Linked DNA regions of Diceros bicornis minor. The protein of the gene in region 2 binds, or shares a complex with, the protein of the main gene of each other region. Links are inferred from orthologs where the notes say so. Each region holds a gene or a part of one and is shown on either strand. Other genes may lie near its edges. The genes, in order: IL22 and IL22RA2.

Evidence for each region.
Region 1: the proteins of IL22RA2 (region 2) and IL22 are in contact, whole or in part, in a crystal structure (PDB 3G9V), measured with the Homo sapiens proteins. The link is inferred for Diceros bicornis minor from reciprocal best matches to the Homo sapiens genes IL22RA2 and IL22. Residues at the interface, in NP_443194.1 of Homo sapiens: Lys65, Ile66, Tyr99, Gly100, Gln101, Arg102, Trp104, Gln128, Glu129, Pro130, Tyr132, Met148, Pro150, Arg151, Thr153, Trp155, Trp156, Glu157, Glu200, Pro246, Met247, Leu248, Asp249, Arg250; in NP_065386.1 of Homo sapiens: Phe47, Gln48, Pro50, Thr53, Asn54, Phe57, Met58, Lys61, Ser64, Leu65, Asp67, Asn69, Thr70, Asp71, Val72, Arg73, Leu74, Lys162, Gly165, Glu166, Asp168, Leu169, Met172, Arg175, Asn176.

What each region holds. Positions count from the first base shown.
Region 1 is NC_080756.1:2,851,159-2,855,072, reverse strand, and holds the start of IL22 (interleukin-22), read right to left. Parts: upstream 2,868-3,914; coding exon 2,682-2,867; intron 2,249-2,681; coding exon 2,183-2,248; intron 2,060-2,182; coding exon 1,916-2,059; intron 999-1,915; coding exon 933-998; intron 1-932. UniProt on the Homo sapiens protein: Cytokine that plays a critical role in modulating tissue responses during inflammation. Plays an essential role in the regeneration of epithelial cells to maintain barrier function after injury and for the prevention of further tissue damage.
Region 2 is NC_080762.1:1,502,957-1,506,870, reverse strand, and holds the start of IL22RA2 (interleukin-22 receptor subunit alpha-2), read right to left. Parts: upstream 2,893-3,914; 5' UTR 2,697-2,892; coding exon 2,636-2,696; intron 1-2,635. UniProt on the Homo sapiens protein: Isoform 2 is a receptor for IL22. Binds to IL22, prevents interaction with the functional IL-22R complex and blocks the activity of IL22 (in vitro). May play an important role as an IL22 antagonist in the regulation of inflammatory responses.

The DNA.
Region 1 (3,914 bases), on a different chromosome or scaffold from region 2:
AACTGCACCTGCTCACAAGAGCATCACTTTCACTGCTACTAATCGTTCCTCTGGTTTGTGGATGAGTCACAACTGCTAGTCTGAGCCTCCCCCCCAAATAGGTCGAATGACTGTATCATCCGCTGTAGACACCTACACTAGCCTACTCCAGACAGATGTTCACTGGGGCTTGACTGAGGGAAGAAGACCGGAAAGGAAGGTGAAAGGAGAGAGGAAGAAAGGAGCACTTCCAATTCAGACTTCATTTCACTATCACAAATCCCTTACTATTATTTTCATTGTATTTGAAACTGTGTAAAAGAAATCAGGGGTTGTTCACTCTTGCTTTTAAATTAAAATCAATAGCTGTTGGGTATTATATTATGATAATTAAATATAAGTATTGGTCATCCCAGAAATTCATCCTATCTGCAAGTCCAGTTCTTCTGTTATTGTTGTTTGGGTTTTATTTCGCCAAGTTTTCAATTGTCAAACTAATGACTTCAAAAATCACTTCAAATACATGTGCCCCAGGCATTTTTTCTGTTTTTTAACAAATCCTTCTTCAAATTACAGGACTCAGTAGGATTCTTAAATTTCCCCAAGAATTAATAATACAAACACTAATGTATATGGCTGCTGGAAAAAGCACTAGCCTGGGTGGGTTCAGGAGACCTGCTTTCCAGCCCTGTGGGGCCCCTGGCCACGCTGGAACATGGGGTGATGAGACCAGACAACCTGACTTCCCAGCCAGTTCTAGAATTAAATTTGGAAATTGATTTATAAACATATAGACACATCTACGCACATAGGCTCCTACATAATCAACCCGATGGTGAGAGAATCAAGTAAAAATCACGACACAGTGGGAAAAAAGAAAATAAGTAAAAAAGAGAAAAACAACATTTGTCTCTCGTATTTACTGATATAGCATTAACAGTTACTAGCGGTACCTTTTTCACTGTGTCCTTCAGCTGTTGCACATTTCTCTGGATGTGCTGGTCATTGCTCTCAACATGCTACAAAATGAAAACCGGAGAAGCTGTTTTCACATGGTTGCACTGAAGCTTATGACCCTCGGTCCCTAACTGAGGATTATTACAATTCACCTGCAATTACAGTTCTTAGCAATTTTGCCCACAACGACCTAGATTTCACCAGTGACCTAGATTTTCTGAGCTCTTGAATTCCCTTGGACATCAAAATCCAGTCATTTCCTTCACCTGGGACCTCTCTTCGCCTTTCGGAAATCCTCCTGAGGTTTAAGCTTGTGGAAAGAGTGGAGTGGTTTATGCAAATTCAGTCAAGAATAAAGCCCTAACTGTACCTCATCAGAAATTCGTGCTCAGAACAAGAAACGTACACAAAACATCTCGTGTGAACAGCAGGCCCTCCTCAATAAATACAGGATCTCCCTCGCTCTGCCCACTCCACTTAAAACTTTTTCATAGTTTTAAATGTTCAGAGGCATCCAGTTCACACGCCTCCGATTTAGTCACTTCCCACGACATCAAAAGGGCGCAATCTTTGCCCACCCACCACTGAACAGTAAATCTTCATTTCCCTCTTTATCTCTTTCCCATCCCCTCCCTCCATCCACTTACACTTGGTGGATCCATTTCCACATCTAGGTGTTTTCCCTGACAGCTCCCAACAGCTTTCTCATCTCACATAACCTGAGATGCTTTTCCCCAGGGACAAATGAGCCTTCTCTGCCCTTGTCTTTCAACCCCATTCATCACCATAAACTCAAAATGTGACTCAATTCAAGCAAAAACAGACACTCTGTGATTCCAGATGGCTCCCATAACGGCGTTGCTGCCCGCTGTGGGGTGGGGGGGGAAAGGGCTCTAAGTGGGAGGAGGACGGAAGGCAGGCCACCAGGAGTGGGCAGGCCACCAGGAGTGGGCAGGCTTGGGCCGGGAGGAGAACTTACACAGTGGTTTAGCTTGTTGCTGAGCCTGGCCAGAAAGGACACCACCTCCTGCATGTAGGGCTGGAAGCGATCGGAGTGAGGGAGCAGCACTTCTTCAAGGGTGAAGTTCAGCACCTGCTTCATCAGGGAGCAGCGCTCTCTCATCTGCAGGTGAAAGTGGAGTAGCAGAGTCATATTAGTGGACATCCAGAAGACCCAAACCACCATCCCACTGCTCCACATATCCACGGACGGCACACTGCCCTGCTCATCACAGCTGCGGCTTACATTGACTCTGCGGAACAGTTTCTCCCCGATGAGCCGAACATCTGTGTTGTTATCTGCCAAACTAGCCTGGAAGAGAAGAAAAGACTAAGTGCCTGGACATCGAGGAGAGAAAAGAAAAGTCTGTAAGTAGAGATGGACTCTACCCCTTTCCCCAGAGCCACTCCACGAAGACTAAAGAAAGAATTCAGATGTGTGCATGAGTTTAAAATAATGCTCACAGGAGGAAAGGAAAAAAATGAATAGTCAGATGAGCTGCTAAATGTCTCTTTTTTTGGGTAAAACTCAATGTATGTATCCTGAAGGCCAAGGCGGAAGGTCTTTTGGTAAAGCCCCATCTCCAAAGAGTCTATGAAGAGACATAGAGAATGATCTCTGGTCTACCTGTAGAGATGAATGAGCGGTTCTTAAAGATTTTAGATGTGCTCTGAAGAAAACTGTTAACAACTATTTGGGCTCCAAGTAGCTAAGATGTGACAGCGAGAGAAGTTGAGATGGGTACCTCCTTGGCCAGCATGAAGGTGCGGTTGGTAATGTACGGCTGCTGGAAGTCAGACTTGTCGAGCCTGCAGTGAGAGCTGATGGGCACGGCCGCTCCTCCCTGCACCCACAGGGCAAGGAGAAGGAGGGAGCTGGCAGCCAGAGCCTGCGTAAGGGGAGAGCTCGCAGATTTCTGCAGGGCGGCCATGGCAGACAAATCTAACTCCAGCAATTGGCAACGAGGGAAGGAGAGCCTGGGATCAAGAGAAGAAGAAGCAAAGTCAACATAAAGGGAAAAAATTAAGTATCAAGAAGTATCAAACCGACCGATCATACCCACTTTGCTGAAACACTTACCTGTTTTCACGGTTCTGCTTGTGATCGGAAGGTAGACGCTGCCACTTTTATAGCCCCCACGACACCAAATTTTTTTGGTTGTGAAAAGCATGACATCAACAATTATCTAATTTCCAGTACTGTCTTCTGAGAACTACCTAACCACCACGGGAGGCCACAAACGCCACCTCCTATCCTTCCATCTTGATAGGCGAGCGTTCCCTAAAGCGTCATCAGTAGGGCCCGGAAGGTATTGTTACAGACAAATCCCAGAAACTTTCTAAACCCTACATAGTTTTCAGAGAAAACAATTGCTTTATCTTCGTAGATTCCAGATTTGGTATAATGTTTTTTGATCTCCTATAGTAACTGAGTAAGCATTTTTGGTCACGGTCTCATTTTCCTTCCAGCTTCTTAGATTCTTATCTCATTAGAGGTGATCAGAAATAAAGGACCTGTGTCCTATATCCTCTGCTTTAAAAGAAACAGTAATGACAGCTTGGGGGTAATTCCATTTTTAAAAATAATTTTATGTCATTTTTTAATATGCTGAATCCTGAAGAAGACTCACATTTTAAAAATAAGTGTTGGCTAATCTAAGCACAGTTTTCCTCCCATTTGGTGGCTTTTTTCAAGTGGTAATAACAATCAGGGTAGATGCAAACATACCTTAAAATTTTTTCATTAAATTGTAATCAATATCAATTTAAGTTTGACAATCTTAGTGTTGAACAACCTGATCGATATTTTTCTTATCATGCAAGTATTTTAAGAACACGGTCGTCGTAGTAGTTCATCTTGAAATTTTATCTGCACTCATTCGAAACAACACACAAGTTAAGTCTCAAAATGAGATTTCCAAAAATTTTCTAACAACTTTTGTTATATATGTGGATGTCTGAAGAAAAGCATCTGGCAA
Region 2 (3,914 bases):
CTGGGCGGAAGGGGGAGGCAGGAAGCCCACGCTCTATCTCTTCCCTGACCTCATCTTCTCCACCTCCTCCTGGCTTCTCCAGAGTGGTCTCCTTTCCTGCTCCGCCGTGCTGGGGGTGGTCCCACCTGAGGGTCTCTGCACTGGCCCTTCCCTTTCCCTGGAATATTCTTCCCTGGATTTCCACATGCCTCATCTCTTCATCTCCTTCAAATCTTTGCTCAAGTATCGTTAAGCTGGAAGAAAAGACTCCTAGGCCCATGATCTCAGCTCTGAACATTCAAGATTTGTTATGTTCTAATGAACAGGGCTGTTGCCTTAGGTATTTATTTATACCAACAAAATAATGTTAATACTGTTATTTGTTTTATGTTTTGGATCTCCTCCAGTGCATCAAATGGGGTGTGTACTTGGAAAGAGTTGTGGGAGATCAAGATTTGGCCACCCTGAAATATATCTCTTCACCTTGATTGTTTTCTCTGACAGACATTTGACCTCCCCCACTAACTGCCTAAAGAATTTGACGTAGAAGATCTGTTCCAGGAAGGAGTTACTATCTGATGGCTGTAATATAATGTAAAATAGATGTTACAATAGGAAAGGCACCAACAAGCCCATCTTATCAAAAATTCTATCTCTCTGGCCACATTCTCTGGATGGCCCTGCAAGGAGTTGCCAGACAAACATTTACATTTATATGGGAAATCTCCATTTGTAAAGGTATCTCCCTCTCTGTATTGGGAAGAGGGGAGATGACCTCATTTCTAGAAACTTATCAATGTGGAAGGTGAGGCCTTAAATCTGCATAATAACCTTACTCTTGTTTACTGTGCTTTAGTGGTAATCTCCTGTAACTGACTCCCCCACCCCCAACATCCTCCTTTGTCTTTAGCTGAAGATGGTATTTAAGATGAGAATCTCTGCTATTGTGTTGAGCAACTCAGTGTCCCTGGTTTCTCCCACGTATACATGTTATTAAACTTGGTATTATTTTCTCCTGCTAACCTGTCTTGTTAATTATTTGGCCAGCCATAAGGACCTTAAAGGAAAGGGCAGAGGGGGATTCTCCCTCTTCCCCCACAGAGTCTATGCCACCACTGATTCTGCTCACCAAATCACTACCTAATCAATCATATTTAGGACATAAAAATTCCAGAAGTTTTCAGGATATGACAGGCACAGTTTCCTAGAGACCCTGCTCAGAGTTGACTTTACCTTGAAGATCGATGGCTCAGTGCCCCTTGTCTCATCTGTCTGTGCATTTCTTCTCTCACTTCTGTGACACCACCCCTGCTACCCGCATCAACAATAACAGCAAATGACTGTTCCAGACACAGAGGGGCTTCACCCTCATTGACTCAGTCAATCTGCCCAGCTCTTCTGTTGCCAAGGTGCTATTGTCATCTTCCTTTTTCCGACTAAAAAACCAAGCCTTGGACAGGTGGAGGAACTCGCGCAGCAGCAGATCGTGAAGCAGATTTCTCACTCAGGCAGTCTGACCTAGAGCCTACCTCTCACGTCCCACAGAAAACCAAGAGCCTAGCCTGGGGGAGAGGAGCTCACGGAGGAGCAGAGCAATGAGAGGCTGAAGGATGCTGTTCCTCCTCCTCCTTCTTGCCCTCTTCCTCCTCCTCCCCTGGCTGGCATTCATTGATCATTGGACATATAAGAGCATTAAACATATATTAGGAACTGTGCCCAAGGCTTTCCATCTTGCTTCATTCTCACAACCACCGATAGGGTAGGTATTTTTATTAGTACACTTTACAGATGGGGAAACTGAGGCTTGAGGACACTGCATATCTTGCCCAAGGTTACAGGCCTGTAAGACGCGGAGCCAGGACCATTTGTAGCTCTTGACTTCCCACCATGTTTTGCTAACTGAGTCCTTGGTATCACCTTGGTATCACCTTCTCAAATCCACACCTTTCTTGGGGACAGAGGCTTGAATTGTTTTGTATTATCAGTCACTGGGCGCCTGTCCAGTCTTGGGAAAGTTACTTGAACCCCTTACACTAAGGTAACCTTCTGTTAACTAGGGGTTCTAAGGCCTTGTTCAGAGGTGTGGTGGGTGATAAGATGCTCTGTGCTCTGAAAAGTTCTCAGTGAATATCAACAGCAGATTCTCACATGTTGTTTACGATCTCTATTCTGTGCCAGGCACTGCCCTAAGACTTGGCATATATTAACTCATTTAATCTCAAGTGACCTACAATCCCCATTCTGCAGATGAAGAAATTGAGGCACCAGGTTAAGTCAATTGCCCAAGGTCCCTAGATAATAAACAGCAGAGTTGAAATCCAGACTCAGCGTGGCTTAGGAGCCTGCGCTGGCAACCGCTATGCTATCGTGTCCCAGGAAGGCAAAAGATGGAGATGGAGAGATGGATGTACCTCTGCCGTGGTTGGAGTTTTCTGCCCCCACTAGAGTGCCTCCTCTTTAGTAGCAGCTCATTAAGTCCCGTGGAGTTATTCAGGCTGCAGATAGAAACTGCCCACAGGTCTGCTCTGACCATTGTGTGACAAAAGATACTGAAATTTTTACAAAGCCCAGAGAAGCACCATTGCCATTTCTGACAGTCCCTGGAGCAAGCTCAGATGACAAAGCTGTGAGCAATTAAAAGAAAAGAAGCACTTACCGACCACTTGAGTCAGGGAGACACTGACGAGGAAGCCTAGAAAGCAGTGTTGGGGTGTCATGGCTGTGCTGTGACTGCCGGACAACTGGGGTTCCCCTCAACGACAGAAGAGGAAGCTGGGGTCCTCACGCTGCACACTCCCTCCTGGGTTCAACCACAGTTCCTTGAAGCAGCTGAATCTCATTTTGCTAATACATTATATTATTTTATTATTTTAGAGGAATTAGAAAAGCGTAAGGATCACTTCAAATAACATTTGCTCTTAGTGACTCTGATGTGGAAGTTTGTTTTTGTTGGGACTGGGGCTTTGTTAGCTGTGAAAAGGCAAAACACTGAGATTTGGCGGATGGAGGGCAGGAGAGGGCAGGGGAGGGTGAGGAACCCTGCAGGGCGCTGGCGGGGGTGGGAGTGAGCCACCTGTGAGGCCTCCAGGGGAGTTGGCCCTGGAGGCAGGGAGCGGCCAGCGACCAGGACTTGGCCACAGGTGATTTGAGTGATCGGTGCTCGGCAGGTGCAGCTCTCAGGGCCCCTTGGCGGTGGTTCAAGCAGGTGGGGTCCCCAGTCGATTCTTCCTTCTCCTCCCTTCTCCGAGGCTCCCCGACACCCCCGACCCCACCCCAAGACACTTCACCCTCTGCACCCCCGGCTCCACACAGGGCTCCCTGCCACACCCCCTTCCCATCCGCATGGCCCTGGGCCCCACTCAACCAATGCTCTTCCTTTCCCATCCCCACCCTCAGTTTCCAGCAGTCTGATGAGATTTTGAGCTATCGAACCAAACGTGTCCTTAAAAGGATGAATGTGGAGAACAATGACTTTGAGCTGCATTAGATCTTTTTCATATCTTCTTTGAAATCCAAACGAACTGGGTCATCTGTTCTTTGCCCGTGAGTCATTATATCATCTTTCTTATCAAATGCTTTTACCACATGTTTTTGAGGCACTAAAAGTATACATTAAAGCATAAGAAAATCACAAAGATTTTTTTTTTTTTTAAAAGGCTGTTTGGGTCAAAAGAGGAAATATATTCTGGAGTCTTTTTCCCCTTGAGTAGTCTCTTTCAAGCTCTTGGTAGAATGGCCTCTTTAGTACAGAACAGTGATGGCTGCTGGGCAGTACTCCCCCGTTCCCTCACTCGCTCATTCATTCAACAACATTTAACGAACATCTGCTATCTACCACGTATGTGCTAGGTAGTGTTCTCAGCAGCAAGGATGCGGCAGCAAATGGCAGACTTTGCCCTCGCCTTCCTGAAGCCCACACTGATAAGGGGGGAGGT